4 linked regions of the Arabidopsis thaliana genome follow. The protein of the gene in region 3 interacts with the protein of the main gene of each other region in a pairwise test. Each region holds a gene or a part of one and is shown on either strand. Other genes may lie near its edges.

Region 1 (7,555 bases), on a different chromosome or scaffold from region 3:
TCACTGCTTTGTTGTGATCCAGAGAAAGAGAGAAGAATTCTGTTACAAAACAGAGAATCATCTCATCAAATTCCAGTAATAACAAACCAAAGAAACCAAACATTCACAACAATTGAAAGGATAGAGAAACCATAAACAGCAGAAGAAGATAAGTACATGTTCTGCAGCATTGAACAAGTATAATTTATTTTAGCAAAATCAAGAACTAAAAGCTTGGATTTTGCAAGCCAAGCTACGAAAATAGAAGAATTTATCCGTTTTGGTAACGATTTAAACACATTTGCATCAAATTCGCTGATAATTCAACTTTTTCGAGGAATAAAAAAACAGAGAGAGCACAGCGACAAACAATGGTTAAGTGAATCCAAGAAGCGTACATGGAGGAAAACAGAGGAAGATCTATGCGTGGAGATCCAGAGAGAGTGGAGAGGTTTATGAGACGAATTCACGAAAGCTTGAACGGATAAGAAACGAGAAAGCGGAATATTATTTCGAAAATATATTTTTAGCAAATTCACTAAAAGTGGGCGTGAAGACTGAAGTGTGTGACATTGCTTTATACATCTTCTTATTTCTTGTGACGATTTTACCCTTTTCCACCACTTTATTTACCGTCAATAATGGAGACCAGGAAAAGAAAAAGAAAAAGAAAAAAACAGTTCACATCAACCAAGTTTATTTCAGATTTTTTTTTTTTTTTTTTCATTTTTCTTTCTCTTCCAAAATTTAGATAACCAAGCTGGAACATCAACTCTAAAAACTCATTTGAGCAAAACATAACACCATCTCCATTGCCCAACTTTATTTTCTTCTATTTTAATATTAACTCAATTTAAGAAGAAATATAATTAATTTTACTCTATTATATATTTTAGAATAGAGTTACTACTAAAATAGAAGAAAAATGTAGAGATTACTCTATAAATAGAACAAAAGACAACTTACTCTATATTTGTTTTCTATTTTAGAGAAAACTTTATTTTAGAGTCATACAATGAAATAAAATACCTTTAAAATAGAGTCAATTTTAAAATAGAAGAAAAAATAGAATTGAACATTGGATATAGTCTTATTATTTTGATTTTTTACTATTCTTTTTAGTAGAAATTAAAACTAAAATACACTTTAGTATGAGTTTCAATTCATATTTCTAACACATATTTTTTATAAAGAAAAATTAAATTTATTTAATTCAGTTCAATTTAAATTTATTTTAGAAAATACATATAGTATAATTTAAAATGCATATAATTTTGAATTGAATGGTAGAAATAATCTAAATATTTTTATTAGTTTGGATGGTTGCAATGGGACGAGGAGTAGAGGAGGTGGAACGTAGAATATATGTAATTATGATGTATAATGGCAAACCCTCGCGATCCATAATTTCAAGCCATAAATTAATAATTATGTAATATCATAAACGTGAGAATTTCTTAGTAGTTCGTTAAAGTAAAGCCATTATATGTTCGTCTTCTTTTTAACTTTTTTTTTTTTTTTGGGGGGGGGGGCAACGTTTTTTCTTTATAATTATGAGCCAAATAGTGGAAGTGAGTTTTTAACCATTTTGGTGGTTTCTATAATCATTATTTTTAAAGTATTAACCTTTCTTTTTAGGTGTGTGGGTGGGATGATTTGGAACATTTATGTCTTTACGATGACGCGATACAAATTGAACTATATACATTGTAACATATTTGACTAGTTTAGTAGCTAGCTAAATAATACAATATTTTTGACGTGGCTTATAAAACACCAATTTAGCCCACTCGTTTTTTCATATATAATTACGAACTATTGTACATGATATTTTAATAAGTGATTGAGGTGAAAAACGTTGGAGCATCCACCAAATTCCATGATCATAGGAGAAAGAAAAGAAAACGAATAAAGAGGTAAGCAAGTTTGGTGAAAGAAGAAAAAAAAAGAAAAAGAGAAAGAGACGCAAGTGAATGATTAAAAAAATGCACAGGGAATTAAGTGCTTAATTGCCTTGATGACTTCTTTTTCTTTTTGGAACATTTTTTCTAAAGATTTTAATTTCTCGTTGAATCTTTTTTCTTTATTTTGATGTGATATGAGATTTGAGAATAGTCGTTGCCGTGTGAGATCAGTGGACCCAAATGCCTACTATGTACTTCAAAATTCTTAAAATTTTAGGAAACAATTATTATGTGTTCTATTCGGAAGCAAATCATTGAAACATGTTAAAAGAAAGACAGTTAGATAGAAATTTCAGTGTGAAAAAACAAAACATAGAAATTTCAGTTCACATAATTGAGACTGGGCTTTGGTTAGATGAGTGGAGTGGCCATGCAAAATGGAGCCTAAACATGGCCTTGGACTTATTTTGGGCCATGTCTCAGCTTTGGATAACTCTTATACAATCTCATAAAACAAACACCAAATTGCCACCAGCTTCAAACTCAAGTAAAAAAACTTTAGAAAGATTTTATTTCTCTTTTATAGAGATAATATGATCAAAGTCAATAAAAGAAAAACATTATTGTTAATCTTATTTTCTTATAATTTTTTGCATAATTTCTAATTTAGATTTTTACAAACAAACAAAAGAAATTGTAATTTAGAAGCGATATTTCATATTTTCTGTCAACCAAGAAAATAGAACATAGTACCCAAAGAAAAAAAGGAATATACCAAATGAAGGTCCCCAGCAAAAGTATATCCCCCAAGTCCAAGAGACTTGGACCGTCCGAAAAAGTCCCTTTGCTTCAATCACTATCAGTTTTCGCATTTACTAAAAAAAATATTTGTGCAAATAAATAATTTATTTTTATACAAAAATCTCTAGTAAATATTACCTTAATCGCTATATAATTATTTTCAAAATATTTTAAACGTATATGAAATGTATGAAGAAATATGGGAATCTCAAACATTTATTAACCTAACTACTTGAAAAAAATTAATCAAAATTTAACGTCTTTTAACAGACCACGAACTTGTTCCAAGGTAAGGAACAAGATCATCGTGAACGGTCCTTGCCTCGTCGCCGTCGGAACAAGCCCTTTGTACAAAGCCATTGGTCCTTCCTCTGCCACCATCTTCACCGCACAATCCAACGGTCCACCGTAAATCTCCTTATCCGCATTCATCATCCTCGTCTTCACAACGTCGATGGGATTCGACGCCACCGCCGCGACGATCCCCGCCGCAAAACTCGCCGCTACATGCGTTCCTATCCCTCCCGGCGTTCCACGGCCACCAGCTACCAAGATTTCTTTGACGTGATCATACGTAGCGAGCTGAGAAGCTGTCACGATCATGGCACGGTTCACGGTTAGCCATGAGCCACGCCATAAACTTGAAACGCCTTCTTGCCTTGCGATCCTGTCGATCGCGTCCACGACGCTCTTGTAGTTTCTGCGACGGTTTAACGGCAAGCTTCCGTCGGCTTGCATTCTCACCATCGCCACGTCAGCAGGATTCCCGACGACTGATCCAACGGCTCCTGCGATGAGTCCAGCTGTGATCTTGGTTACCAATGGGAAGTTACCTGTTTGGAATTATCGTTTACGTTTAATTTATTTGATCTTTTGTGTAATAATATGGAAAAAATTCGAACCAAACAAACCGAAACTGTTTAAGATCGAAACCGAACCAGCATTTGTTTATAAATCCATTGGTTTTCTTATTTAAAACCAATAACCGAGAACTGTAAACGACTTTTAGTGTAATCAAACCAAACCAAACCGAATAAAAACCAAAATTATTTTTTGAGTAATATTGTTGCCGATCGAGTTTAGTATTATTACCGGTGAGTTGATCAGTCCACCTTCGTTTAAGAAAGTCGTATATACCCATACGGGTGGCAGAGTAAAGCATCTGACGGAGGATGGTGGCGGAGACGCCGGAGAAGAGAGCGGCGGGTCCTTCGGTTTTGACAATGTGTGCCCCTACGGCGAAAGGGGTCATGACGGAGCGCGTGGAAGAAGACGGCGCGTGAATGTGTAAGGGTAATAAGGAAATGCTGCCGATGAGAGAGTCAAGAGCGAAAACGGGTCGGTAAGGTTTCACGGGAAGATTATGATCAAGGCTAAGATTAGGGTTAGGGTTTTGGTCGAGCGAGAAAGAATGTTCGCCTTGAAGCTGCATACGGACTTTGATGAGGTCTAATGGGTGAGTCAGAGCTCCGGCGATGATTGCGGCGATGCCACCTTCAAGAAATGGTTTGAAGCCCATTGAAACGATTACCGGAGGATTTTATTGTAAGGAGAGAATGTTTTGAGGAATGGGAATTGAAAGAAAAGAAGAGTTTGGGAGATAATAGATCTTTTGTAATAAAATGTTTGGAGAAGAAGAAATGAAATTGAACAAGTTGGAATGGAAGAAGACAAACTACTTGAGAAGAAAATAATGCAACGAGTAGTTGTGTTTGTGTACTAGTCCTGAATTACGGGTTCCAGCTTTTAGCACAATGTTTCTTGTTTTGTCTTGATGCACACCTTGGCATTACAGAAAAAGAATAATTGAAGCTAGAGGAATAAACCAATATTGGTCAATGAAACCAATGTTCTATATCTAACATCTACTCATAAAATTTGATGTTTCATTAAGACGAACGTCATATACACCGACAATTGACACATTATATCTTTAATTAAATATCTTACATTACATGATTTACTTAAGAGTTATATATATATTTTTTGTACCACAAGAGATATACATATTACAAGAGAGAATTAGTACGAGATTATATCAGGAGCGTTTAGAGACTCAATCATGACATGGTGAGGACTCTAATACTGTAATACATATGTAATCTCTCATCTTTAACCAAACACAAACCAAAACTATAATTGCATATATAGTTTATATAATCATTTGACGTTCTTTACCCATTGATCTATGGCTTCTTGTTAGAAACGTTAACCTCTTCAACTGTTGATGTAGGTTTTGTCTTTTCAGTCTTTGGCAAACCGCCATTAACACCGGGAATAGGAAAGCTCGGAAACCATGATGGAAATTCAAATGTTGACCCTTCTGGCTCTTCTGGTTCTTCGGGCTCTTCAGGAACTTCGGGTTCTCCAGGAACCTCAGGCTCTTCTGGAATCTCAGGCTCTTCTGGAATCTCAGGCTCCTCCGGTGAGGGCAGCTCCGGCTCTTCTGGAACTTCCGGCTCCTCAGGTTCTGTGTATTCTGGAACCTTTTTGACCTCTTCTTGCACCAGAGAATGACTTACTCTAGCAGCAAAACTAGGTGTAGGGAACAAGAGGGACGATGAAATAAAGACAAGGAACAAGACCGAGGAGACGAGAATAGGAAGGCGAACATTAGTCATTGTGATATTCTTGAATCGAAACCAACTTAGAAAGATGAGTTAAACAATGTTGTGAGTATAGAGAGTTTGTGTTTTGCTATATATTGTTTACAGAATGGTTTCTTAAATAATATTGAGATGAGAGAGATCTTAGAATGTAGATTCATAAGAGTCAAAAAAATTTGGTGAGAAGATCTCACTGCACGATTGTGAGAATGTGATGTTAGTCTTCAACAAACTCACCTATATTTCATTATACGTCTTAGTTGTATAACCCCTTTTAAGTTTACTTTCGAACCTAATATATATACTTGTTTTAAAGCTATTGATACTAAACATTACAAGAAATCTTAAAGTTAGCAATACCTATATTGTATTTTACGTCTCATATGCATCACCCCTTCTTTACCTGTGAACATTCATTATTAATACATTTACATATGATTTTATTATTTTATCTTGTAACCGTTTCAAGTGAAAAGTGTATTTTTACGCATTATGTAGATTATTAAAATATATAAGGATCAAAATCAAATAATTTTAAGACTTATAAAATAAAATAAAAAATAAGACTGAGATAAAAAAAAAAAAAAATTAAAGACTAACTCAAGTCCAAACTCATAATGGTATTAAGTATTATAGAGAAAATCACCAAGAATTTTTTTTACGATAATAAGAAAAGTTTAAAGACACTAGAGTGTCAGAGACATGATGATAAGAAGATAGATTTAGATGAGCAAAACAAAAGAAATTGTAAAAGCAGAATGAAGTCTTGAAATGGCTTCACTTGAGAGGGATAAACCTAGAGGAGTGTGTAGCACCATGACCGGGCTTGCCGTGCCTAACGGGTTTGTAAGTGATTGAGAATTCCGCAAGGTAATGTCCAATCATCTCCGGTTTGATCTCGATTTGGTTAAAAGTCTTTCCATTGTACACACCAATGATGCTTCCAATCATTTCAGGCATAATCACCATGTTCCTTAGATGGGTTCTCACTACTTCGGGCTTCTCACCAGCTGGTGCATCTAGTTTCTGGTTTAAAGTAAATTAGAGACTAGTGTTATTATAATAATCAAAGCCAACCAATCAAAAGGCAGATCCTAACTAAAATTATTGTTATGTTGGGAGATCACAGACTAATAACAACTATGACACAATAACAACAGAGATTTATATTGGAAAGTTAGAGTTTTACCGCTTTGCGCAATTTCTTGATGAGAGCCATAGGCTTCCTCGTTAATCCTCTACTCATCCTACAAAATAATCAACATAATTAAACAAAACCAATCATTTAAAACAAGAGTTATATAATCTACCAAAATTTTTGGTGGGATCAAAACCTTCTTCTTATACGGGAAGGGAAGAGCTCGACAAGATCATCAGTGGGCATGTCAAGAAGAGCATCGAGATCGACTCCTTTGAAGGAAAACTTTTTGAACGTTCTCTTCTTCGCAAGAGCAGCTGCGGAAACATCTGGTTCGACTTCAGCCTACGGATTTCGACAGAGAAATTTAAGACCATGATGGGTTCAAGGATCTAACAATCGAATAATTAAGGTTTAAAGAGATGGAGATCAAGAAACTAACCATTGTTCTTGGTTTGAGAAGCCGGGAAAGTGACTGCAACTAGGGTTTTGCTATGGAGATACGACAAGAGACATAACTTGGCACCCAATATATATATATATATATATATATATACACAGATGTATTATAGATCCTACAGTGTTTCTGTTTAAGGAAACGTCAATAAATATTTACCAATTATTACATTATTGTCTTTCTAAAATAACATATGAATCAATATTTAAATATTTTTCTTCCCTTATAATAGAAAAACTTCTTTTTTTCTTACCTTATAAAAACTGATAATTAAAACATATAAATACACAATTTTCCCCCAAAAAATCAAAACTTAATTATTAGTTTAATGTAAAATTAACTGATTTAGGATAAAATTGGTCATACATTTTGTATTTATCTTCGAAATACAAGGAAATTATGTACAGATATCTTATAGAAATAGATATATAGTTTGTGAATTTCAAAAAAGAAATTGAAATTTTCTTCTATTTATAAATAGGGTCATTGTGTTATTTTTTATTTTCAATATACAACCATCGATCTGCAATACAAAGAAAAAAAACTAAGCAATCCAGATATTGATTTTTTTTTTTTTTTGAAGTTAATATATGCAGTTTAAAAATGCAATTGAAAGATATCTATCTATAAATCCTGAATTATTTTCTAAATTTAAAGTAATACTCAATAA
Region 2 (6,756 bases), 7.8 Mb from region 3:
CAACAGCCTAAACCTGTTCCTTCCCCGACCAGACAAACTGTGGAGAAGCCAAAACCACAACCACAGCCACAGGAGGTGGCTCCTCCTACGACTACTAGCTTGAACACAGTAGAGCTCAGTAGAAAGACCAACTCGCTTTTGGAGGAATATTTCAATGTCCGTCTATTGGATGAGGCATTACAATGCATAGAAGAACTGAAAACCCCGTCTTACCATCCTGAGCTTGTCAAGGAAGCTATCTCCCTCGGCTTGGAGAAGAACCCTCCTTGTGTTGAACCAGTGGCGAAGCTCTTGGAACATCTGGTCTCTAAGAATGTTCTAACTCCTAAAGACTTAAGGAATGGTTGTCTGCTCTATGGGTCTATGCTCGATGACATTGGGATCGATCTGCCAAAAGCGCCAAACAACTTTGGGGAGATCCTTGGGAGTTTGGTTATGGCCAAAGCATCGGATTCTGAGTTGGTGAAAGAGATTCTAATGAAAATGGGAGACGAATGGTTCAAGAAAGCAGTCTTGGAAGCTGTGATGAGGAGTGTTAGTGAGTCTCTACTCACTACGGAAGCAGTAGAGGTTGAGGCTTGCCGTGGTTTGGTGTAGTTTGTGTGGTTTCTTTCTTCTCAATACATGTTTTGATCAGTTTAAGACCCCACGCTCGCCGGAAAAAACAGGTGAGATCTTTCTTGTAATCATTTATTGAAAAATGTTAAGAGTTAATATCATACTTGTAATCGAAATTAGATTCAGTTTTATTACTCTGTTTTCTTTTTCTTGGTTTGTGCTTTTTCTTTTGGTGCCTTAGTTCATTATTCATTTGGAAGAGTTCAAGATGAGGAAAAAGAAAAGAATATGTTGAATTGTACTCTTTATAGATAGTCTTGGAATGAAAAGTTTAATTTAAATAATCAAGTAGTTGTCAAATAATCATTATTATTATTATTGTATTTTATCATGTTGGTGGTTTACTTTAATGGGAACAGATGAGCATTTCAAAATAGATATTTAAAAAATATCACACTAATTTATACATTGAAAAATGACATTTAAGGATATTTCCCATTTTTCATACGTAGTCAATCATATAAAATTTGAGATTTTAATACGTTGACAGAGTCATATGATCCTGGATCGTGTCAAAATGTCTCTTGTGTAAGTAAGAAGTTTTCCAAAAGAAAAAACAGTTATGAGCTGTCTTGATGATTATATCACTGCCTAGTTGTTAATTAAGGAAGAGCTCATCTGTTTGGTTGCGTGCACGAAGAAGAGAGTATGGTACAACTACTTTCACACAAATCTATAAATACACAGACACACTCATAAGTTCAAAAAACACAAGATAAATATATTTTCTATTCAATTTTGTTTAAAGAATAAGAAAAAGATGAGAACTTCTTCTCTTCTTGGTTGGTTTTTGATCATCTCCCTCTTGTTACTTTCTCAATCCCTCATAATTTCATGCGGACGCCATACGATCACTCCTTTGGGTCGGGAACTAGTTGAACATGAAGAGAACAAGGAAGGGTCATCCGGTCATCACCACGACCATCTTCGAGTCTTCGTGAGGAAAAGCAAAAGCAAGAGCAAGAAGAAGAAGGACAAATCAGCAGCCACTCGAACCCTTCTCTCTAACCCATTTACCTATGTATCTACTGTTGTGAGTTCCTTTGTTTTATTGCTCGCCGCATTTTAATCCAAGATAACAGGTTGCGACTTTTTTATTTTATTTGTCAAATGGCTTGAATTTGCGTGTTTGTTTGAGTTTGTATTTCCGATCGAGTTTAACGATTTGTTTTCTTTTCCGGCAAAGATTGAGTTTGTAAGTCTTCAATGTTTGAAAAGTTGTCTGATCTGGTTTGTCTAATATTGTGGTTCCAGTTGTTTTGTTTAATGAATAATAACTGATTGTCTAAGACAATTTATCATTGACACACAACTACATGCGACTATTTTTGGAATTTTTTTGTTTGTTTGCTAAATTGTAAATATCATTAATATGAATAATCAGAACTTACACTTTGGTTAAACCTATACAATTGTGTACTTGGCCAAAAAAAAAAAAGAGTAAAAAACAAGAAAACAAACTTATGTGGGAAAATCTCGGGCCAGTTTATCGCAGCCATAAGATTTCAGAAGTGACCCCTTTGATTTTTTTGGCGGTGATAGTGTTCTTAATCTCACGATCAATTATTTTGAAGACTGAGTGGAGAGAGAATGCAGGTATAGTGAACATTGTTCCTTTGTTTATTCTTACCATTAACAACAACCTCTTTAAAACATCTACTACATGAATTCAATCAAATTCAGTTACAATTAGAACTAACTACTAGGCACCATTTCCCTTCGACCACTATTTGCCTTACGTTGGAAATTCACTAAATTCCATTTCACATAAGAAAACGATAAATAATAACATTTGGGTCTGTTACCCATTAGGCTTAATTAATCATGATCCTCCCTTACGTAATTAGATTTTGCCTCTCGGAAACTTTCTTTGTTGCTGGCAAAAGGAAAGTTTCTTTGCTAATAAGTAATAAGTATCCCAATAGTTAAATACAATAATAGTATTAAACATCATTTCAAAGAAGAAGTAGCCCATGTTTAAGCCATGGTCGTTTCGTTACCTAAGCCTAGCGATATTATAAATACTAATTCTTTTGCACACATAATGCGTCCCATCATTGTAAAATTAACACATATTTCTGATTTTTTTCGATCAGATACATGTATATACACACATATTATTTGATAAAACAGAAATGAGGACTTCACTGGCATTTTCTTGTTCATTGATTGTACTCCTATTGTTACTCTCTCAGCCTTTGCCAATTTCATCTGAAAATAAGGAGAGTGAACGAAGACTTGCACAACACGGTGACTCCAATCCGTTGGATCATCATGACTCTCTTCGAGTTTTCATGAGGAAAGCTCGTTTTGGTGGTGTTGGTGGTGGTAGTCGTGGTGGTGGTCGTAGCCACCGTCGTGTCCCCAGTAGTGGTCATGGTGCGGGTGGATCATCCGCTACTAGTCGACCTTGTCTCTCGATGGCATTGCGCTACGGTTCCACGGTCGCGAGCTCAATTCTGTTGATGTTCTTCGCCTTCTAATTAAACTCTTTTTTTTTTTAACCTTTCAATTTAATAATTTAATTTGTGCCTTGCGAAAACACTATGTCAACAACCTGATGCATAAGCACACATAGCAGGAGGGTTCATAAGCTGATAACAGAAGAAACTTTCAATATTGCATATAAATGACACACAAACGTTTTCAAATCTCTGAAAACAACTGCAAAGCAACTTTATTGGTACAAGTCAAAGCAACACAGTTCCAAAGAAACAGAAATCAAGCAGAGTAGATGGGGCGTCTGTATTCATCAAAGTACTCTTCACGGTGCTGAAACACAATCACGTAAATCGCATATATTATCCCCGGGACATAGCCTAAGATCGTCAACACCAGGCATATCAAAAACTCCACCTGCCAAAACAAACCACACATAAAAAAAATTCAACTTTCTTCAAATGATTATCCAAGCTTTCAGGAATCAATGAATCAAACATAAATTGATCCAATCCAGAGAATTTCTGCGATTCATATCATAGATTAAGCACTCCCTTCATTACTCATACCAAATTACATTATAATCAATCCAAAATTACAGTCTCTATAAGAAGTTCCAGGATTCTTCAAAATTGAGGAATTCGAAAGAGAGAGAGAGAGAACTTACAGTGCAGCATCCTTTCCTGAAGCAAACTCCGAGAGGAGGAAGAAGGATCGCGATAATGATCTCGCACAGAATCTCACAGTTGCTCGGCATTTTTTCAGAGAGATGAGATGAGAGAAGAAGAAGCTTTAAGAGTTTTTTTAAAAGACAAAACACTGAAACTTGCTGTCACAGAGTTGAGAGTACCAATGAAGAGAGATCAGTCCACGTTTTATTTTGTTTCCACTACAAAGTCAATGTGCGAGATCTGCACCGTTCATTTATTGATATTTAAATCGTACGGCTTTAGATTACATCTCGTGAATCACAACGAACGATATGGTGCACCCTTATCACATCAGATCACTTTTAGATATTTTAGTCTCTGACTCATCCATGTGACTAAATGGGCCTGGGAAGGCCTGTCTATTTTATTAATCCCGGGACCAGACTGGAATTGGACAGAAACGTTTTGACTCAAACGGTGTCGTATTACTGAGACTTTGATTCCTCAACTCACAATCATTGTCATTATTTGCCAAAGTAACAGAAATCTATCTTTTTTAGCATAATCTATACCATAATATATGTTGGCATCATACAAAATCCTTTCAAACTCAAAAATGCTTCCGCATTTTGCGAAGTTTAAACTCCGGTAAATACAATCTTGGCAAAGAATTTGATACATTAACTCTTAGGAAGGTCCGTAGCCTGACTTTGCAAAAGCCAACAAGTTATACATCAAAAAGATAAGCAATGTATCAATAACGCGACAATGTTCTCAAATCTTCAATACATAAAAATTGCAAAGCAACTTATTATTTGGTACATGATAAGTAAAACAGTTTCAACAACATATTGATCCGTGTAATGGACCAAAACAGATCAAGCTGAGTTAAGTGGAGCTCCAAGTTCGGTAGAGCCTTCACGGTTTTGAAACACGATCACGTATAGTGCATAAATTATCCCTGGGATGTATCCTAAGATTGTCAGCACCAAGCAAATCAAGAACTCTACCTGCAAAAAAACTAAGAGTCAGATTTTCTAAACTAAATCTCAAGATTCATGATTCCAAAATTCCAATAACTTACAGTGCAACAGCCACGTTTGAGACAAACTCCAAGAGGTGGAAGAAGGATCGCGATTAAGATCTCGCAGAAAACTTCCATGTTGCTCGCCATTTTTTCAGAGATGTGAGTGAAGAAGATTCTTGAATGTGATCTGAATTAGTGGAGAAGAAGAGAACACTGAAAGTAGTCGGTAGCACAGAGATCCAATTAAAAGAGCAATCCACGGCTTTTTATTTTTGGCGCTACCAAGTCAACTACGAGATCTGCACCGTTTATTTGTTTGGTATATAAATCGTACGGCTTCAGCTTACATGCCGACATCTCGTAAAATTACCTTACCTTGCCCCCACTCTTTAGATATTTTCATCTCAAGAACACGCAAGGTATGGTGCAACACAACACACCTGATCATTGTGGGATATTATTACTCTGACTCGCCCCCTTATCGTACGGTTAATGGATCACGTGACTAAGTTGGCCTAGAAGGCCTGTCTTCTATTGTTTCCGGGACCGGACTTTGATTAGCCCAATTTTTCTGTTGCTTGCTTAGATGGCAAGCTATCTCAGTACATTTACTTAACCCATTTCCCTCAATGTTTATTTCACTTAACACTATGATTCAGACCTAAAGCAATGAAGAATATTAATAGAACACACCAAAAGTTGGGAATTTAGTGACAAGACAAACTCACAAAGAAAAAGGGTTTCACATTGTTTTAGGAATTCAAACATAGATAAGAACAGAGTAAAAAATGCCATAGAGGAAGCTCTGAGCATAAAAACCGGTCAACAAGTTGATCAAAACGTGCGTCCAACAAAAACCAAACACCATCATTCCTCTCTTGGATTACCAGGTCTTGGAACGCGTAAAACAGCAATCGGAGGATTGAAATCCGGCTTAATGATCTCCGTCAAATTCTTCAAGCCCGACGTATTAGTGTTTATATCACTTCTGGTCAATGATATACATCCGCGTAAGTCCATGTACTCTAGATTCGAACATCCCTTACAAACCGAGTCAAGTCCTCTAGCAGTCAATGTGGAGTATCGAATCTCCAAATGCTTGAGCTGTGTCATGTATTTCCCAATTATTCTAGCCTCTATATTCCCATATCTAGGAAATGTAGCCAGATAGTCTAGTGGCGCGACGATTGTTGGCAGGCTAGGACCTAGCCGGGGCAACAAATTCCGTTTCAGAATCTTTAAATTTTGGCAACTCCTCCCCAATGTTATCAGAGACTCGTGAGTTATGCCATAAGAGTAGCTTATATCAAGTTCTCTAAGATTTGGACAGTTCATAGCTATCTTCTCCATTGACGCATCTGTAACATTTGGGCAGTTCTTTATCCAAAGTACCTCTAGATTAGGGCACCTGCAAATGGAAACCACATGACATTTTATTCATTCTATCAAAACTCTGCGATTAACCTCTATGGACTCAAGCTAAAACTGAGAATTATCACGAAAAGTGATACGTACCTCTCGGCGGCGTAAGATAGAGAGCGTTCTGTACAATGCCTGATCCGAATCTCTGTGAGACCTCCTTCACTCCGATCAACAACAGATCGGAGAAATGAATCGACTTTATCCTCAAACTCGGGAGTCCACCAGTTGATCGACTCAGGGAACGACAGAAACCGAGTTTCGAGGTCGAAGATGGTGTTTAGTGTCGGGTCATAGCATGCGTTCATCCAGTTCTTGCTGACCAGCATCGGTCCAATCCATCTTTGTTCCTGGCTTAGCCGTGAGAAGATGTCAAGAAGACATTCTCGAGTCAACTCAGACCAGTCAGGGTAGAGTCCCGATCCCATCTCCACCTTTCCTTCCCCGCCGTTGACTTCCATAGGATTGAAGAACGCTTCGTCGTTTTGAGTACGAATAGACTTGAAATGTTGAGACTTTTTTTTATCGTCAATGGAATAAATGTAGTCAATGGAAACAAAAATGCTGAGACTTTTTCAGCTTCTATAATCAAGCATGCTCTTT
Region 3 (10,914 bases):
TGCTAAATTACCTGAACATGCCAAGACTCTGGATCATTATCATTAGCAGAAGAAGCTTCAGAAAGTCCCACGATGTCAGGAATTCTGTCTATCCTAAGCAAAGAATCATCAGAAGAAGATTTTAGTTTCCCAATTCCGCGAGGTTTTGAAGCCTTCATCCAGCGTTCCTCGAAATTAGCAAGTACATCATATGCAGCTGGACCATCAATCTTGCTGTGAAGATCATGCCATGGTTCTCTTGGTCCATCATCCGCAGTAGTCTAATAAGAAAAACAGATTTTACATGGATCAAGAATAGCGATTTTAATTCCAAAACTGCAACCAAGGAGGATTTTTCTTAAATGGTTACCACAAAATTTGGGTTGTGGAAGTCATCTTTATGGAGTGTCTTTAATGTCCTGAAGAGAGGATGCTTGGGAGTATCAAATCGTCCGTTGCACAAATCTAGCCCTCCAACAAATGCTACGATCTTTCTTCGGTTCTGAGCTGCTTCAGCGTCTACAATCACAGTTTTTTGATGATGCGTGTAGATTGTTCCAACTTCCTGATCATCATAATGACACTCAAATTTCAGATGATGAAACTATACACACGGGAGTTTAAGCAGTAAGCAGTAACTAATGAGCATCTTACAGATTTTTTTATGAAGCTGTGACCTTTCCCTCCAGATCTGGGACAAAGGAGAACTTGCACCGACGAATGCTTGAAAAAACGGCGAGTCTCCTCATCGCTTGTGTTCATAACTCCTTGCTACAACAAAACAAAAGCTTTCATTAAAACGATAGAAGGATCATTGCTTCAGTTAGTACAGACATGTAAAACGATCTAACTGAAGCAAACTCATGCTTTCCAACAAGATAGACAGTAGCGTGGATCTATTTTGGATACGGAACATTAGCCGGATTAAATAGAAACACAGAGAAAAACCTATGCGAAAAATTAAGAACATAGTATTAAACCTGCATATTTTTTTAACTCAGCATTCACGCAAACAGAGAAGCAACAACAGAGTTATGTAGATTCTTACTGTTTTGAATCCCAGAAGACTCCTTGACGTTGGATCGTCCCACACCAAAACCAACACTCTAACACCTTCTTGAGATTTGACTTTAAGCAACTCCCCTAATGTACCTTCGGTGGGATCATTGGTACGACGAACCAGCCTAACCGGATGGAAAACTGACCAACCTGTGATATAAATCAACCTTCTTGCCTGCCTTATTGCATCAGCCATATCCTCCCAGCACTTTCCATGTCTATACTGAATCCCACCATCAAGATGTACACTCGGAAGAGTACCGTCATCAACATGAGCATCCTGATACAGAGTAACCCTACCGCCTTTCCTCAAAGGGAAGTATGTACCGGGAACTCCTACACACTCATTACCAGAACCAACACCCATTTGGTAAAGTCTCATTCTTTCCATTGGAGTGTATTGAATAGACAAACCCAACACAGCACCTTGTTTACAAGGCTTCCCACTACTATTAAGTATCGGAAAGAGCCCTTCGATCCTATTCCCCGAACACAGCTGCTCCGTTGGGATTCCAACAGCTCCCATGATCTGTGATCCAATAATATCACTATCTTTCACAACAAAATGTACTTCAGCAGCACTATGAGCAACCGGTACATCAAAATGCTGCATCCACACAGGATTCTCACTATTGCTAATAACAAAAGTTCTACCAATCACAGCACCAGAGATAGAGACAGTAACATAAGGATCACTAGTGATCTTAGAAGACTTCTCACCTTCCACTTTCTTCCGACCTAACCCAGACAACATCCCACCAAGTCTGTTATGGAAACCATCCATATTAGGAAGATGTTTAGCTTCCTTAACCCAAATGTCTAAGTTACCATGTAACAATTCGACCCTCAAAGAGCCACTACTCGTAGCAAACGGCACGTATTGCTGGCCGCCCCCATGGCTTGACCCTCCTCCCATAGACATAGTCTCAGTATAAGCCGGATGATACGCCATGAAAATCGAAATCAAAAACCCAAAAAGTCAGAAACTTTCAGCTGTTAGATCAAATCTCAAGCGTAACCGAGTTCAGTGAGACAAAAGATCGATCACTTGGTGGGCAATAATCGAGAGATCAAGACTGAAGAGTGAAAAAAAAGAAGATAAAACTTTGTGATAATACAAACTCAGATCAAATGGAGATCTAAAAATATGGGCAAATTTATATGAAATCTCAGATTTTTGTGAAGAAGAAGGTGGGAGGAAACGAAGGGAACGTTGACTTGAAACGGAAGAATCGGAACATTTTAAAGATATTGGCTGCCGTTGTTGAATCGTTCTAACTTTAGCCATTAATAACACAAATTAATCTTCAATTAAACTAATAAATTATTTGTTTTTAGTAACGACGACTAAGAGGACTTCCACTTTGGTTGTTGGCTGCTCACGAAACTCTTTCTCTCTGGTCCCTCTTTTGATGCAACTTCATTTGAGTGGTGATGTTACTATTTTTATATATCAACTAGAAATTAAACATTCGACTTAATAGTGTAAGTAATAATTAAGCATGACATTTTCTTGAAATGAAATCATATTACTATTTAATATTTATTATCAACAAGAAGTAAACATTCGAAAAATCACTAAATTAAACCATATAATTGCGTATTGAATAATAAATCAAGACATTTTCTTCAATGGAGAAGACATTTTCATTGTTGAAGTCTTCCTCAATTTTGAACTATAATTTTCAACAGCTCTAGTGGATTCATATTATCTATCAGTCGTGGTCTTAGCACATCATTATCTTATAGTGAAAAGAAAAAAGTTGAACTTGTAAAGAAATACAAACTAGTTTGAAATTCGAATTGAGGGATTAGGATATAATTTATTTATTATTTTAAGTTTATAACTAGTCAAAATGATTAGCTAATGCAGATAAAAAGTATTTTAATTAGGGATTAATAATCACATTCTCCGATTACAACTTGAAAAAGTTGGCGATTAGTCAAACCGAGCCGGCTAAGCAGAATTATTATAAAAGGCATCACGGACAATAGCCGTTACTCCGTCAAAAAAGTAACGGCGATCAGAGTAACTTAACAGAACGAAAGCCAAAACGTGAACACAAACTCTAATTCGTCTCCCACTTCTCAAAAGGATAAAGAAAAGCTCTGATTTTTTATGAGCAACAAAAAATAGTTTAGTCAAAGCGCAATTACAGTTTATTTTTTGTTAAAACCAAAAAGCTTTTAAGGATTAAAATTAGTTAGGGAATAAGAAAAAGTTGGAAATTTACATAAGTGAAATGAGGATTTACATGATTCTACATTTGCTATCTTTATCTTTAGGGGATTTGCCGTCGTGTCTCGAAGACGCAGCTGATGATGGCCTGTGGCTGCTCCTTGGTACCTGCAATGGTCAGTACAATATCTGATCATTAACATTCATCCAAACACCACAAGAAGCAAGGCTGCATTATATTCAATGAGCTTCTGATTACGGTGTATGATCATTATCGATGTTTTACACTCGCAATTGGTACTTGTAAACTCATCTTAGTCGGTAAAGTATATGGACAGAAAACAAATGTACTAAACAGGACTTGCAGATGTGCTTGTTAAGGCTATACTCTCTTACTATTTTAATAATCAGTGTTGTATATTGTTGCAATGTGCAGGTCACACGGTAATTTACCTTTTCTTATAATCATTGTTAACCATTTGTGTCGATTCCTGCTTTTTAAGAATATAGTGTTATGAGTAGGAATGAAATACCTGTGGACCAGTGACCAATCGTGAGGCAGCAACGCTAGTTGGTTGTGGAGTTGGGTTACTACGTGGGCTCTGGTCCTCAAACTCTTGTTGTTGCAAAGCTATTGCTAGTTGCAGATCAGAACTGCATAGTACCATGGGAATTAAAATTAAACAATCATAAATATGTTTTTAAGAGGACAGTTATAACAAATGCATAAATGTGTCTCTGGTGAGAACCAATGGGTTAGTGGTCAAAGAAAGGTATGAAATATTTACTTGACATCTATGCCTGCATCCGCTACATTGTTGATGCTGGCAAGATAATCCTGTGTAGGGAGAACCAAAAGAAAAAAAATGATTAAAAAGGTAAAAGAAGGAGATCTAATGTGGATTAGTGACTATATTATGAGGAGAACATACAGCAGTATTTGTGACTGCGTTTCGTTCATCCCATGTGCCACTTGCACCACCTGTGCTGCTGTCGATCGTGAAGTCCTTGAAGGTAGCAGTCATGAATGCAGTGTCACCATTAACCTGAAACCAGATTGCATGTCAATAGTGGTCACAACAGCCATAGCTCTAAAGAGATTGTGGATATAGAGATATCTCCTAAGAAGCCAAAATTAGCAGATAAGACAAATGGTGAGTAAGTAACTTTTGCTGATACCTCGTTTAGTTTTTCCCAAACCAAATCAGGCTGATTCAGGTAACCTTGATCTGTAGCCAAAAGATAAAGTTCACCTTCATACTGAAAATATGACAGCAACAAGAAGAATTTAGTTGGGATTAACCTGTTGCAATTCAAAGATGGAAATAACCGCAAACTAAACAAACCTTGAACATGGTGCAGAAATGATTGTTCCGGAAAAAAACACAGAGTTCACGTTCTTTGAGGCCTTCTTGCAAGCGAAAGAGTCTGTAAGATATGATCAATAATCAATGTAAGATAATACATGAGCAGTCAATTTAAAATATAACTTCCTAACTATGAATAAGATCACGCACCCACAAAAGGTTAATTGACTTGCACTATTCTTCATAAAGTTCCTGATTAGTTCACCTGGAAAAACTCAAGAACAACTATTTAATAATTGCAAGAATATATGGAAAAATGTGAACTAGAGCAAAGAGAGCAGCTCTAACCACAATGGCATGCATGTATGAGTTTCCGAAAATGTATTTCAAGTGTATCACAAGTAGATCAGACACAGTATAATTTACCTTCTTCTGCTGTGAGCCCATCCGTAGCCCTCCCTTCAGAAGAACAATCACCAACATCCTTCTCAACCCTTTTACCAAGAAGTGACTCACCTTCATAAACGGGTTCTTTGTCTGCACAAACTGGAGGCACTGTGTTTACACATTCCTCACCTTCGTACATAGGTTCATCGGTAGATACAGGTGGGATAAAAGCGTTGGGTGCATCATCATGCTGGGATCTGCAACTCAAATCTGGAGATGCAATGGGTATCTGAGTAAGAATTTTCCTATCTAATATCTTCAGATGCAATTTTAGCCAGTAAAATGATTAAGATGGAGGAGTACTATACTTATGTATAGAGACATCTATAAGGTTACACCAACTAAGGAAGAGTCAAAAAAACTACCTGGATCAATAGAAGCTGCATCAGACTTGAGTACACTCTCAGAACTGCTTTCACTTTTCGCTGACTCCAGATTACCCTTATCCACAGAGAGTGCCTCAGAAGAAGTTACATCGACAATGGCCTCTTTGCTGCTACTCACGTTCTCAACATCACAAGCCGTTTCACCTCCAGATTGCTTAGAAGATAATTGATCATGGTTAAGATCCTCACTTTTAGTTGTAATCGTTGTCGGAAATTTCCCAACTTTGATCATATTCCCATCATTTTCTGATGCTTTATCATCATCAGTTTTGAACTGGTCTAGCTGACTGATATTAGTAATATGGGTGCTAGTTGGACTCGCATCTGAAAATGTGAACGCAGAATCTTGATTGGTTGAGTCTCCGTTAGTGTTTGGAGTTGGATCATTCCCCTGCCCCTGTGATAACTGCAAGGCTTGCAACAACTCTGTTTCTTCTTCAAGATCCCCCTTTCTCATTCTACGAAGCTCTGCAGCCGCAGGTGGAGAATCATCAAAAGATCTTGTTTTCGAAAGACAAGGTGAAGGAACCCCTAAAACTGCAGTAGTTGCCGCAGCAAAATCAACAGAATCTTCTCCGGGATTTTGATCGCCTTGAGCCTCTACATTCTGTGTCTCCAGTGCAACTAGCTCACCCATAAGAGCATTATACGATTTGCTACCAATTGCATTAGCTGCTTCAACATCCTGTAGGTATGCACATGGGAAACAATTGAATCAATACTTTTACAGTTTTACTACAGGCCCAGGATTGATAAGGACACCATCTTAAAATGAGTGCTCTTGACCACTGTTCCAATCCATCTTAAAACGAGCCAAACAATGGATAAAAAGAATAAAGTAACCTATGTTTTGTTTCTCAACTCTCAAGAAGATAAAGAAGAGAAGATGACCCCACATCCCAAACATCCACACACAAAAGACAGGAACGAAATTAAAAAACGTCAACAGCCTATACTAATGAAATTTAATTATTTACGCGCAGACAGAGCCATTCTGATAAAGTATGAAACAAAATGATATACCTGAGGATCAACTATCCATCCATGATATAAGGGAATGTCAAGTAAATCAAATATTGCACATTCAGGTGTGAACTCAAAATCATCAATCCTGCAACCAGGTAAACACTCATGATAATTAACTTATGAATTTCTACCTATTATAAGCAGAAACAGCTGACAAAGTATTAACCTCCTGAATTTAATATTGACATCAATTCCAGTAGTAAGGCGTGGAAGAAGATCAATTGCATCAGCAATGTTCTGTTGCTGATTCTCAATATATCCTTCATCTTTGTTCTGCCATTGAGAAGAATAAAAGATTCACATAGATTCAAGCCACAAGATAATATAAAGAACAGGCAAAGATAAGAAGCCAGCTTATTTACATTGACTTTACTATTGGAATCAATGAGTCTGTCGACCACGAGGGACATCAATCTCTCTTGAGAAACCTCATAACAGTCAGGATTTAGATTCAAGTTGTTTCTCAAGAGAAGCACATTACCTGTTTCATCCCAAAATCAAATAACAATCAGTAATCAAAGTGTTAATTGATCTAAGTATTATTAAGCACACTAAATACCAAATTCTCACACTTGTCATTTCTACGAGAAGCTCAAGCTAACAACAAAATCTGATGTTCGGTACACTAACCATCAAATCAATGATTCATTACATTGTACGGAACAAGCAAACCTAACACCGATTCTTCAATTTCTTTTACAAATTCCACAAAATCAGTAACGCAAACCTAAAGAATCAATGATCATAACACCGAAATTCCACTTTCCAAACCCTATTTTTACGATCTGAATGAAGTTTTATGAGGACGAAAAAGGAGAAAATAGAAACATACAAATGGCTAACAAAGGACAAGGTCCATTTTCGTTCTGGAGAATGATAGGTGTGGTTCTTCCAAGGAACTGAATCGATTTCGTCTTATACAAAATCTCCTCCTCCGTAGTAGTTTCCTTCGGTAAATCTTGCTGCTGCATCGCTTCTTGATTCGTCTGCGTTTCTTCGCTCGGAGATTCTGAAGATGAAGCGGTCGCCATTGACGATGATGATATCAACCAAAGCTAATGAAAAAACAAATTCGAAAAAAAGTCAAATTTTCGATCGAAGAAGAAGAGAGACAGATTATTGGAAATTCCGAAGAAATTTTATTTTTTCTGATCCAAATCGAAAAGAGGAAGCGAGCGAGAGAGCAAAGAGGATTTAATTTATATTACGAGAAAGAACTTTTATGGGAAGGTTGATATTGAAATGTGTCACATAACCAAACCGGTACGTACCAAATCGAAATTCCGGTATTGTTTAAATTGCTATTGAACCAAATATAGTAACGACCAATTTTTCAAATTTATTCCGGTATTTGATGTATGAGAAGAATTATGGTTCGATTATTACGGTTTTGATAAACCAATTGGGTATCTTTAGTGCGTATCTTCTCGGGGAAAGGTCAATTTAAATGATAAAATTCTTCATTTCTTATCATAACACCGTCATTTCATTTCCTTAAAAGTCATCTTTTAATAGTTTTTTTATTCCTAATTAATTTCTTTATAACACGTAACATTTTAAAAAATTTTGGGAAATTTCTTGATATATCATTTACGAAAGAATTAGAAGTGTATTTATCACATTTATTTATATTATAGTTTTACACGAAAAGTTATATGAATGTCAGAATGTGTTGACAAAAAGAAAAGGAAGAATATAAGTGTTTGACGATCTAGAAGGAATCTATAAAAACGGTGGGACAATTTGAATGTTTAAAGAATTATGAGGTTTGAGGTTTAAATCGAAAAACAGAACCAAAATAAAAGTGTGGCCTGCGTCTAAACAATGGTGTGTTTTTTCACTTTAATTGTTTTCCGTTTAGTAATTATTTCACTTCAATATATAAGCATGTATTTTTATTAAAAACATGAAAATACTGTAGAAATTATGTTTTATAAATTATCACATTAATGACTAATTTTGAGAAACCAAACTTTATATATTAAGATGTTAGTAACATAACATTATAACCATCAATCTCAATTCACAAGGGAGATAAATTGATGAAGCAGCAGAATAACATCATTTCTGTTTGACCACGCTTGTACAAACATGTCAATGACAATGTGTTGGTATTTTTAATGTTGACTATATATATGGGCTGTAATTGAATAGTTAAAAGCCCAACAGGCCATTTGAAACCTAATTGTTATACTATCACGCGTATAGATGATGAAATCCAATTATAAAACTTCGAGGCATATGGCTTTTGCATCATTTTGAGTCAGCCGATATTCAACCCAATACACATCGGTCCGGTTTAGTAGTTGGTCCATCGATCTATACCAAATATATCGTGATCAATGGCTAGAAAAACCATCGATCTCAATGAGGCATATTAGGAATATTGTTCCACATTAGAAGTTGAGTATAATTTTAAGTGGTATATATATAAGTTATGAGTTTTTCCACTTATTGTCAATTAGTTTTGAGTTGAAACCGCACAATCTAATAGATTTGAGTTGTATATAAGAGATATAGACCTTTCCATTTATTGTCAATTAATTTTGAGTTAAAAACCAATAAAACTTAACATGGTATCAGAGTCCAAAAACACATGATTCACTAATCCAGTCCGGAAAGTGGTCTGGTCATCTTTACTAATTAATAGTTCAAAAAAAAACTAAATTCTGTCGAAATAACTAGAAAAACATTATTTCCAAGAAGCGTATAGAAAAAATTCCACATTAAAAATATAGAATAGACTTGACTAGTGTATAAAAAATATAAATCTCTTTATTCATTGTTAACTAGTTTCGAATTAGAAACCATAAAACTTAACATTTTTAACTTTTTTGTTCATATATCTTCGTTTGTTCTCAGTATTCATTATATCTAATTCATTCTTTTCTTTTCTTTTTGATCATTTTATTTTTATAAGCGAAATTTGCATGTATAACCTAAAAAAAACTTATTAATTAAGAAACTAATCTATTGCAAAAAACTTACACTATAATAATTATGTAATATATAATATTACAAGTTTGTCCTCACCCCCACAATAATTATCACCACCACCACCACTGTTGCTGCTGCCACTGCCGCCACCTTCGACGTCACCGCCGCCGCTGCCGCCACTGCCGCCGTTACCGTCCTTACCGGAATGAATGCCATCACCTGAGCCATTACTCCATTGTTGGGGTTCCCATTGTCACTGGAGTCACTGCCATCGTCGGAGCTGTCACCGTCGTTGTCGCCGAAGTTATCGCTGGAACCACCGTCGTTGTTGGAGTCACCGCTGGAATCACCGTCGCGCCGGAGTCGCCGCCGTCGCCGGAGCCATCACCGAAGTCACCGCCGTCGCCGGAGCCGCTGCAGTCGCCAGAGTCACCGCCACCACCTATAATCATTTAATAAACCCTTTAGATTAGTTAGTTAATTGATACATATATAGTGTTATTTTCTTAATTATTTACTGTAAATATGTTATAAATTTTTTCTTACACTAACGCTTTCTTTAATTGAAAAATAAGATGTATACAGTAGACATTAAAAAAAAGACTCATTCATTAATCACATATGGCATAGTGGTCCAAAGCCACAGTAACCTCTTACACGAAGTTCGAAATAAGGCTTGCTGACTCGATAAAGTGGAAAAATTAACAATAATAATATCTCATTAAAAATAATAACAACCCTTAACAAACAAAAAAATAATAACAACAACGACTTAAGTTTACAACTGAAATTTGGGATATGTTCACATAAGAAAACGAAGCAAGTAAAAATTAGATCCGTTCGCTTGTAATACATATGCACATACCAATTTCCAAAATTCTAAATAATTATGAGAAAGAAACAATATATAACAACACTTTAATACAGTATATATTTTGGCTAATGCTTGTGGTCCTCACAGCGTGCAACACCTGTATCGAGATTTAAAAAGATGAATCAGAATAAATGCTAATTAATTGAAAAAATTAAGGCATCCAATAGTGGCTAAGCACCTGCTAAGTGCTAGTAGAACAATAATTACAGATATAAAAATGATAAATTTGGGCAAAAAAGAGAAGAATAAAGTAAAAATGAGGGAGTGGGTAGAGAAATTAGAAATGCACCAAATAAGGAGTGGCCATGAGCGCAAATAAAGAAGAGAGAATGGCGTGACCATGTGAAGTCGTACGGAAGTCATAATACGCAGCATTGTTTTATCGCTTTGTCATCGGAAGAGTGTGGTTTTGTTATAATAAAACTCGTACCAATAGACATCTAAATGCAGATTCATATATATGTCAGAAATAGTAAGAAATTTAAATTTGGAATTCAATGCATATATATGTATGACTTTTTCTTTGTATGAAATGATAGAATTGTGTTTTACAAAATCATGCTTTTCTCACATTTTGTGACTAATTCTACCGACTTAATTTGTATGATATATAGACTTGTGTTTACAAAATGGCTTGGTTTTTGCAACCGAGCTAGCTCGGTGTTTTGTGGACGTACGACATCTCCATCGAGAATATGTTTATGTTTTACAATCCACAAG
Region 4 (7,736 bases), on a different chromosome or scaffold from region 3:
TAACTTTTGGTTGACGTGTCACAACTTTTTTCTTTAATATATAAATCTTAAATTTAATTGTGATATGTCGACGAAATAAATCTGTTATAATAGTATTTTTCATCATCATAAAATCAAATGGTCTTTTATAGGTACTAAGCTGCACATTTTATTGGGCCAAAATAACGGCTCATAGAAAATAACACAAGCCCATTAAGATGGGCGTGAATGGTGACGGAAGAGTCAAATACGATGTGGACTAATAATATTGTGTCACCTGGTTATAACATAAAGAGTAGGGATCCAGAAAGTAGTAGTTAACAAAAGAACACTCAACAGTAGTAAGTAGAGAGTAGATGCATAAAGACCGTAAAACAAACCCATAGCCTAGAGGCTAGAGCTCAGAGATGAGAAGGGATCCAGTAAGGAACATGGTTGAGCATTGGTGCATGAGGAGGGTAAAAGGAATGGACCGTACCAGAGGTTAGATCGTATGAACCAAGACCATGGCCAATGTAATAGATAGAGTTAGGTTTAAGCCCCGGGTACATGCTTGCCGTGAGGCAGAACGCTTCACTTGCGCCAAGGAAGATGCAGAGATCTCCAATATCTTCCGTGTAACTAAAGTCTTTGCTCTTCTCATCTTCCCTAAAGACCATGAACCGCTTGGTTTTGCTGTGGAGACCTTCCACTTCTCCGTCTTTTTCCTCTGTGTGAATGCATTGTGCGTACCTGCGCATAAAGAGAAGAAAGCAGCTCAATCTCTACTTTGAATTTATCCAAAAGTAGCTAGCCTCTTAATAGACAAACTTACCAGTTGACCAAGAAAAGTTCACCAGAGGGAGATTCCACCAAGTGCTTGCTCATGAAACATTGATCCAACATCTCCCGACCTGCGTCAGGAATCTTGGGGAGGTTGGAGAGGCGCAGTTTTTGATACTTGAGCTTGTTGTTGTTGCTGTTGAGATGCAGTGAACCCATGTAAAGACCCTTAACACTTGTGAAGTAGAAAGCTTTGTCTCTCTTGGAAAACATGATATTATAGGCTGGATATAGAGGTAACGAGGTCTCAATGTGAGTCCACTTTGAGTCCCAACAAGGCTTGCATACACTTAGATGACTTCCACAGAACTTTGCAGCCACAGTAAAGTCTTGGAACATCAGAGAAAACTTAGAGATGAAAAACTTAGAGAAATTGAACAAGGTAATGGTGAAATCAGAGAAAATGCATCTTTCTTACTCTATAACTCTCTCTCTGTATATATAGACTTTGTTTGGGAATTTCAAACTTTCCTTTTTTCACGCATTCGTTGATGTTTCCTTTTTCTAAAATTCTTTTTGTGTTTGTTATTTCCCCTTTTTCACTTAGTTTAGACTTACGAGGAAACTAGAGCAATAATGAGATGGAATCAACTAAGGACAGTCTTGTAGAAGCACAGGCTCATGTTTGCTAAGGATATATGATTTGTTAGAAGAGATGAAATCTGTTGAGACCGAACTTAAACCAGGGACTGGTGCAGCGATGACGAGAAAGAAGCAATACAATGGATGATTTGGAAACAGAGCTCTAGAGGCTGAGAGACTTGGGACTGAAGCAAAGGAATCGCTTTTGGCTTGGAATGGAAAGAGAAGAGAAGATGAGAAGAATTCACTTCATGATGATGAGAACAATAGGCTTTGCTTGAAGCTACGCTAACCGGTTGGTATGAAAATTACTCTCTTCAACGCCGTCTCGTCTTTTCTAGGAACATCTTCATACCCATTAATACTCACAACTCTAGAATTCTTCTGCAAACACACAAAGAGATGCAAAAAAATTCAGATTTCGCAATTTCCATAAGAATAAATTAAAAACAGAGTGGCTCTGTTTTTGTGAGTTTACCAAGAAAGAATTGCATTTTCCGCCAGAAGGTTTCTTGAGACTCTACCACCAGAAACCACTTTATTGTATAAACATTTTATTCAATAATTACAAAGATAAACCCTTTTATGTTATGGATACATCTCTATAGACTTGGAAAACACAAGGAAGGGTTAATCTAGTGGCATTCACATAATCTTGAGGTGTATGATTTGAAACACCAGGGACTATAATCCCCAAAGCCCTACCACCCTTCAACAACCATCCTTCACTGTACTCCGAGCCCTTCTCAGCCACTATAGTGAAGCTTCTTATAAACTCCAATATAGCACTCCACATCATCTTTATAATCCCTCGCAACAAGAAAAAGTTTTCGTCCGATTGCTCTCTCATTACCTATAAGTCACAAAAAATATTGGTCGTCAGTTTATATTTTCAAGTGTGAATATATAGATAGATAGATAGATGTAAACCTTTGCTTGATAGTTCTGGTCGTAGTAGATGCAAGTGCCAAAGTGTTTGAACATCAAATCCTTATCATCGTACGGCAATCTTGGAACAATGTCGTTATTATAAACAAATCTATAATACTTTATATTATATTTTTCTAATTTCTTCTCCATAAATTCACCAAACTTGGAATCTCCAACCCTAGGCTGTCCATAAGTATACACCCCTTGAATCCTCTCCAACAACTCGGTCTCGTGGTGAATCACAAGCACAGCCGTGAACAATATCGCGAGGGCTCCTCCTAAGCTATGACCGGTCAGAACAAACTTGGTGTTTTTGTTTTGAGCGATCAGAGTTTTCAAAGAGTCTCTTATTGAGTAGTAAGCTAAAGGGGATTTTCGATCAGGGTTTGAGAGAGGTTCTTTAGGCCAACTACAATTGTTTTGAAGCCCTAGAGCTTTCATGAAACCACCATGGATATTCCCAATGTTTGGGAGCTCAAACCATGTAATGTCGAAATCTGAACACCAATCTTCGGAATTAAACAGTTCTGTGCCTCTAAATGCAACCACCACCGTCGTTTCTTGACCGTTGGATCTTGTTGTTGTTTCGTCAGTAGACATTATAAAGGCTTGTGTTGTTTCCTTTTCTTGGTACTCTGTTTTCAACCACAAAAAAAAACTTTATAAAAATATGATTAAATTGTAAATAAGATTAAATTACTAAGATTTCTTTTATTATATAATCATACCGTTCCAATAGTCAACGAGACCTAAATACTTCATATTCCAGTGATTCTCGACGACATGTTTAATACGGGCTGCGTTTTCGTAGGCAATTTTTGAAGCCATAATGGACAATGCAGCATAGTATTTCTCTCCATCTTCACGATTCAACGTCATGTCTAAACTTACCCTCGTGTCTAAATGTCCGATAAATGACTGATAATTCTCCGATGTCCGTTGCGGCATCACCACTTCTCCTGCATACATATCCACAAAATTAGTATTAATTGTAAATTGTAATTGTTATTAGAGACGAATAAACGGAAAACATCAATACCTCGAAGGAAGAGACCGGAGAAAGAGTTATTGGAGAGGAAGTTTAAAGAGAATTCTAAGGCGGAGCCAACGAGAGCTAAAAGCTTGGAGAAGAATCGAAGAAGCTTGAGAAGGACGAGAGAGACAAAGATAAGCCATCGATGTCGGAAACTGTGTTCTTCGGTTTCCGAGCTATCCACTGATCTCGGTTTCTCTATATCTCCGGAGAATAACAAACGAACAAGTTCCCATGGCCGGAGCTCTTCCGGTCGGAGAATCAGATATCCTCTCGGTTCATCGTCATCGTCGCTGTTCATCATGTTGATTCGATTTTGTGTTAGTATAGTACTAGAATATTGTACGAATGCAATTATTTATGTACGTATAACTCTATTTATAATGTTAGAATGGACCGTATTGTAGATTTGGAATATACTTGGAGTTGTGGAAAACGAGATTTGTTTTTTTTTTGCAACAGTGATCTACACATTTGGTTTTGGAATATGAATTTTTCACGTGGGTTTAATGTTTTGGAAAATTTTAAAATTTCTGAGAGTTTTCATCTCTAACAAAAAAAAAAATCCCCAACGGTAACCTATAATATAGTGGGCCTATTTGTGGGCTGACAATATAGGTTATGTGCCCATTGAATAGTGATCTTTCAACCCAACTTTTTCTTTTCCCACAATAAGGCCATGTGAATTATACCATTTTAAAAATTATATTTTCAAATTAACAATTTGATCATAATTTAAATAAAAATGGTACAACATTTATCAAAATGTATAACTAAACATATATAATTATGTAAACCTATAGGACTAAATTAACAAAAGACGTTAGTTTGAACATAATTTTTCTTTTCTGATGATATATCCGTTGATTAAAATTCTAACAACTAGATCTGTTGAATCATTGATATTTGTCTGTTTACCAAGAACCAAAACAATGTATACATATTATATATATATATATATACTGATATGATCGTATATGGATGCATATTAGTGGTATTGTACGTGATACTTTACAAATTACAAATCTATAAACGAAAGGAGGAAATATTCTGATATCCATATCATCGAAATGAAAACATTATCTTATATTATGGTTTTGTTTTTCATATGTCGTGTGAGGTGCACCGGGAAATTATAAATGAGTACATTTAACATAGCACAAGAGACTAGATGCGAGTAGTCAAAGAATGCACCAAAATACCGAAAATCAACAAAACCCAAAAAGAATAGAAAGATCAATAAGATATATATATAAAAAAAGTATACAAAAACCAAAATAGATAAAATTGGGATCTGCATTCCCAACAATACCTACCCATTTTAAAAGCATACTATATTATATTCAATAAAATCAAAATCTTTATCATCCCACCTATTTGCTTGTCCCCATTCTTTTCCGAATTCTACTACTTTTATCCTTTCAAATTACATAAAAATGAGTACGTCTACGTTTTCGTTTTAGGACGTTTCTACCTTCTAAGATATAGATTTTGACTTTTTTGCAGAGGAATTTTTTTTAAAACATATAATTGGTTCGATTTTGCAGTTAAATTGTCCTACTATTATATGGTAACCTTATAATGCCATCAAAGTTGACTATCTCGAATACTATTTGATCCCATTTTTGATTGGCATGGTTTAGTTTACATGCATTTGGTATGAAATTATATAATTAGATTACAATAACACCAATGATAACAGAGAAGAATGCATGAACTTTATCCTGTCACGGAGAACATGAGAATTTATCCGGAACAAAAAAAAAAAAGAGATAGAGAAGAGGAAGGAGGAAAAAGGCATTGAAGAAAAGATAATACAAGAAAGGGGAAAAATATCAAAATTTCTTCAATATTTCAAAGAGAAAACAAAAGAATAAATAAAAAAAGAAGAAGACGATAGAAATGTGTCAGAAGAATACAGAGCACTTGCCCAAGAAGATATTATAAGAAAATGTCTATATAAATCTAATCTTAAGGATATTGTAATGATCAGAGACTCTCTGTGGTGATGTTGGGACCTTTGTGGGATATCTCACGTGGGACGATTTTTTATTTTCAATAACCAAACAACAATGTAAAATTCTATGGGGTGAATATTTTATTTGTTTGCTAGATTGTGCGAAAATAATTGGACTGATTATTTTTTTGATAATTTGATATTGATTCAATTTGATTATTAATATAAAGTGGGTTGTTAGTGGAGCAACGAGTATAGATGATGCTTGGGACATGAACACGATTGTATTGCTACCTTGCCTTGGGAGGCAGCCTATCTCAGCTTTGGTACATTACACATTATTAAACAAATAAACAATTAAACTATGCTATTTGTTTCCGATATTCAAATTTGGATATATGCAAAAAGGTTTATTCTTAATTATCGTTTAACTTAGTATCAAACAACAATTTTTTATACAGTATATTTCTTTTTGGTAATTGGATCACCCAACTACCAACTAAATGTAATAATCGCACGATTTTATTTAACTTTTTCTTATTAACTAGAATGTTTGTATCTACTAGACCTTGCCTCTCAAAGACATGCGATGTGCTCATATAAGTTGTATTGATGTTACCATAACTAGTTACAACGCTATCATTTACCAATCGAATCTGTAACCATTTGCATCGAATATCGTTCAATATCAGAATTATCAACATACAATGGACTAAGAGACAGCTTGGCCACTACCATGCAAAGGTTAACCAATCATATTCATATATTATAGACATGTCGATGTATATATGTCTGTGGTCCTTCTAACGTTTTTTTTTTCTTTTTTATTTACTCATCCTTTGTTCCCACTGTGCTGTCACATAGATTCTTCACAGATCTTTCGAGAGAGAAAAAAGAGAACAACAAATCGAAGGTCATAATAAAGTCCCAAGACTATATGAAACAAAGTTGTGAAAAATTTCCAATTTTGTAATAATCGAGATGGACCCGTATGTTATCTTCTCGTTTTTGAATTTCATAAGTTTGTAGACTATACATTTCCCTTGAATTTAACTAACTTAAAAATTATAATTACAAAGTGCTTCCAATTCGAAATGATGTGAGTTATAAACTTATAATCAGTAACACATAACAACAATGTGAAAATAAGCTACATTGATACCTATAATATTAGTATTAAATGTGACGATAAGTGAAGACAGTTTTCACAACAGATGAGTATTAATTGTAGCGAGTAGGGCAAAAGTGAAAAAGTGGACTAAAACCGGTTTCTTGATTGAGAGAGTGAGGGCAGTGAAACGTCAACGTTTCGTGGGATTTAGCATGTTTTGGTGTCAACATAGGAGGGTAAAACAAAGATCGAAGCACTTGCTTTGTCTGCCTGTTTTTATCTAATCATGGGGAAGAACCATCTAAGGAGAAAATCAGAGTTATATGTAAATAAACTAGAAAACAAAAACCAGTCTTAAATGTGATTTTGTACAAATAAAGTGAGACAGATCTTGAAAGAACAGTGAGAGCTTGTGGTGTCTTTTGGATTTTGTGTATTTTTAAGGTAAGAATCATTTATTGTCATTTGTTTTCAATTAATTAGGATGCTGCTTCTTGTTTACGGTACATTTTTAGGTTATGTTCCATCATTATATTTAAATATTCAAACGATTATCTGATCACGAATCAGATCCATCTTAAATGATACTATATCATTTATTATTATTTTTTTACACGATACTAATGCATACTATTTTTGTATAGCAATTTGTAAATCAGTTATAAGAATGAAAAAATCTCCACTTTGTTGGGAATGATATCGGGTTGTCAGATGCAGCAGATGATGATTCTTCAGTTTTCGATTTCAACATAAAATTCTTTGGTTAAAAAAGCAATTTACAAGAGAGAAAAAAAGGTTGAGAATTTTCATAAAAACTGAAAGCACCTTCGCCAGAAGGAAAGTCAGTGGGGGTAAGCAACAAAAGTGTTTAATAAAATCTACTATATAGAATAATACATAAAAACTTCCAAAAATGAATAATTCGAAATTTAAGATAGTGAGTAACAAAAAAACAGTAAAATAAAATAAAAAAGGAATGAAGTCGTTCTCAGATCGGCTTTGAGAAGCGTGCCATACGCTAAGGCTTGATGTCAACTGAGATCCAATTAATCATCCTGACTTATTTCTTATCTATCTATATACGTTTGTTCCTCCACCATTTGTTATATATACACACACACACGCATGTATTAATGTATTAACCGTTCTCGTTATGAGTCTGTGTTAATTTAAATCTGACCAGAAAATTTTACAGAATAAAATACTGCTCCCTGGATTCTGACATATCTCATGTGGATGTGGGGTAATCTTATAAATCATAGTCCTCTCTCTCTCTTATTATAATATTTTGGTTAAGTAACCGTTTTTCTTGGATTGAAGAA

Evidence for each region.
Region 1: the proteins of AT4G11860 (region 3) and DIC3 interact in a protein complementation assay, tested with the Arabidopsis thaliana proteins (one large-scale study listed by BioGRID).
Region 2: the proteins of AT4G11860 (region 3) and AT4G30660 interact in a protein complementation assay, tested with the Arabidopsis thaliana proteins (one large-scale study listed by BioGRID).
Region 4: the proteins of AT4G11860 (region 3) and AT5G67050 interact in a protein complementation assay, tested with the Arabidopsis thaliana proteins (one large-scale study listed by BioGRID).

What each region holds. Positions count from the first base shown.
Region 1 is NC_003076.8:2,946,311-2,953,865, forward strand, and holds DIC3 (dicarboxylate carrier 3), read right to left. Parts: upstream 4,386-7,555; 5' UTR 4,204-4,385; coding exon 3,777-4,203; intron 3,518-3,776; coding exon 2,931-3,517; 3' UTR 2,822-2,930; downstream 1-2,821. Other genes in the region: AT5G09480 (hydroxyproline-rich glycoprotein family protein), read right to left, coding at 4,871-5,305; AT5G09490 (Ribosomal protein S19 family protein), read right to left, coding at 6,068-6,316, 6,480-6,537, 6,625-6,773, 6,871-6,873. UniProt on the Arabidopsis thaliana protein: PUMPS are mitochondrial transporter proteins that create proton leaks across the inner mitochondrial membrane, thus uncoupling oxidative phosphorylation.
Region 2 is NC_003075.7:14,952,528-14,959,283, reverse strand, and holds AT4G30660 (Low temperature and salt responsive protein family), read right to left. Parts: upstream 3,906-6,756; 5' UTR 3,815-3,905; coding exon 3,725-3,814; exon of another isoform or gene 3,475-3,724; coding exon 3,340-3,474; 3' UTR 3,284-3,339; exon of another isoform or gene 3,124-3,283; 3' UTR 3,113-3,123; downstream 1-3,112. Other genes in the region: AT4G30680 (Initiation factor eIF-4 gamma, MA3), read left to right, coding at 1-597; AT4G30670 (Putative membrane lipoprotein), read left to right, coding at 1,379-1,687; AT4G30662 (uncharacterized protein), read left to right, coding at 2,754-3,101; AT4G30650 (Low temperature and salt responsive protein family), read right to left, coding at 4,586-4,717, 4,792-4,881; AT4G30640 (RNI-like superfamily protein), read right to left, coding at 5,602-6,142, 6,250-6,614.
Region 3 is NC_003075.7:7,130,948-7,141,861, forward strand, and holds AT4G11860 (FAM63A-like protein (DUF544)), read right to left. Parts: upstream 7,564-10,914; 5' UTR 7,415-7,563; coding exon 7,216-7,414; intron 6,865-7,215; coding exon 6,746-6,864; intron 6,657-6,745; coding exon 6,550-6,656; intron 6,469-6,549; coding exon 6,381-6,468; intron 6,043-6,380; coding exon 5,337-6,042; intron 5,182-5,336; coding exon 4,951-5,181; intron 4,790-4,950; coding exon 4,735-4,789; intron 4,646-4,734; coding exon 4,564-4,645; intron 4,478-4,563; coding exon 4,397-4,477; intron 4,264-4,396; coding exon 4,150-4,263; intron 4,056-4,149; coding exon 4,006-4,055; intron 3,872-4,005; coding exon 3,751-3,871; intron 3,386-3,750; coding exon 3,290-3,385; 3' UTR 2,949-3,289; downstream 1-2,948. Other genes in the region: PLDGAMMA1 (phospholipase D gamma 1), read right to left, coding at 12-260, 350-544, 634-750, 1,028-1,990; AT4G11870 (uncharacterized protein), read right to left, coding at 9,548-9,772.
Region 4 is NC_003076.8:26,757,516-26,765,251, forward strand, and holds AT5G67050 (alpha/beta-Hydrolases superfamily protein), read right to left. Parts: upstream 3,683-7,736; 5' UTR 3,651-3,682; coding exon 3,353-3,650; intron 3,273-3,352; coding exon 3,042-3,272; intron 2,949-3,041; coding exon 2,314-2,948; intron 2,237-2,313; coding exon 1,967-2,236; 3' UTR 1,863-1,966; downstream 1-1,862. Other genes in the region: AT5G67040 (F-box protein, putative (DUF295)), read right to left, coding at 381-711, 794-960.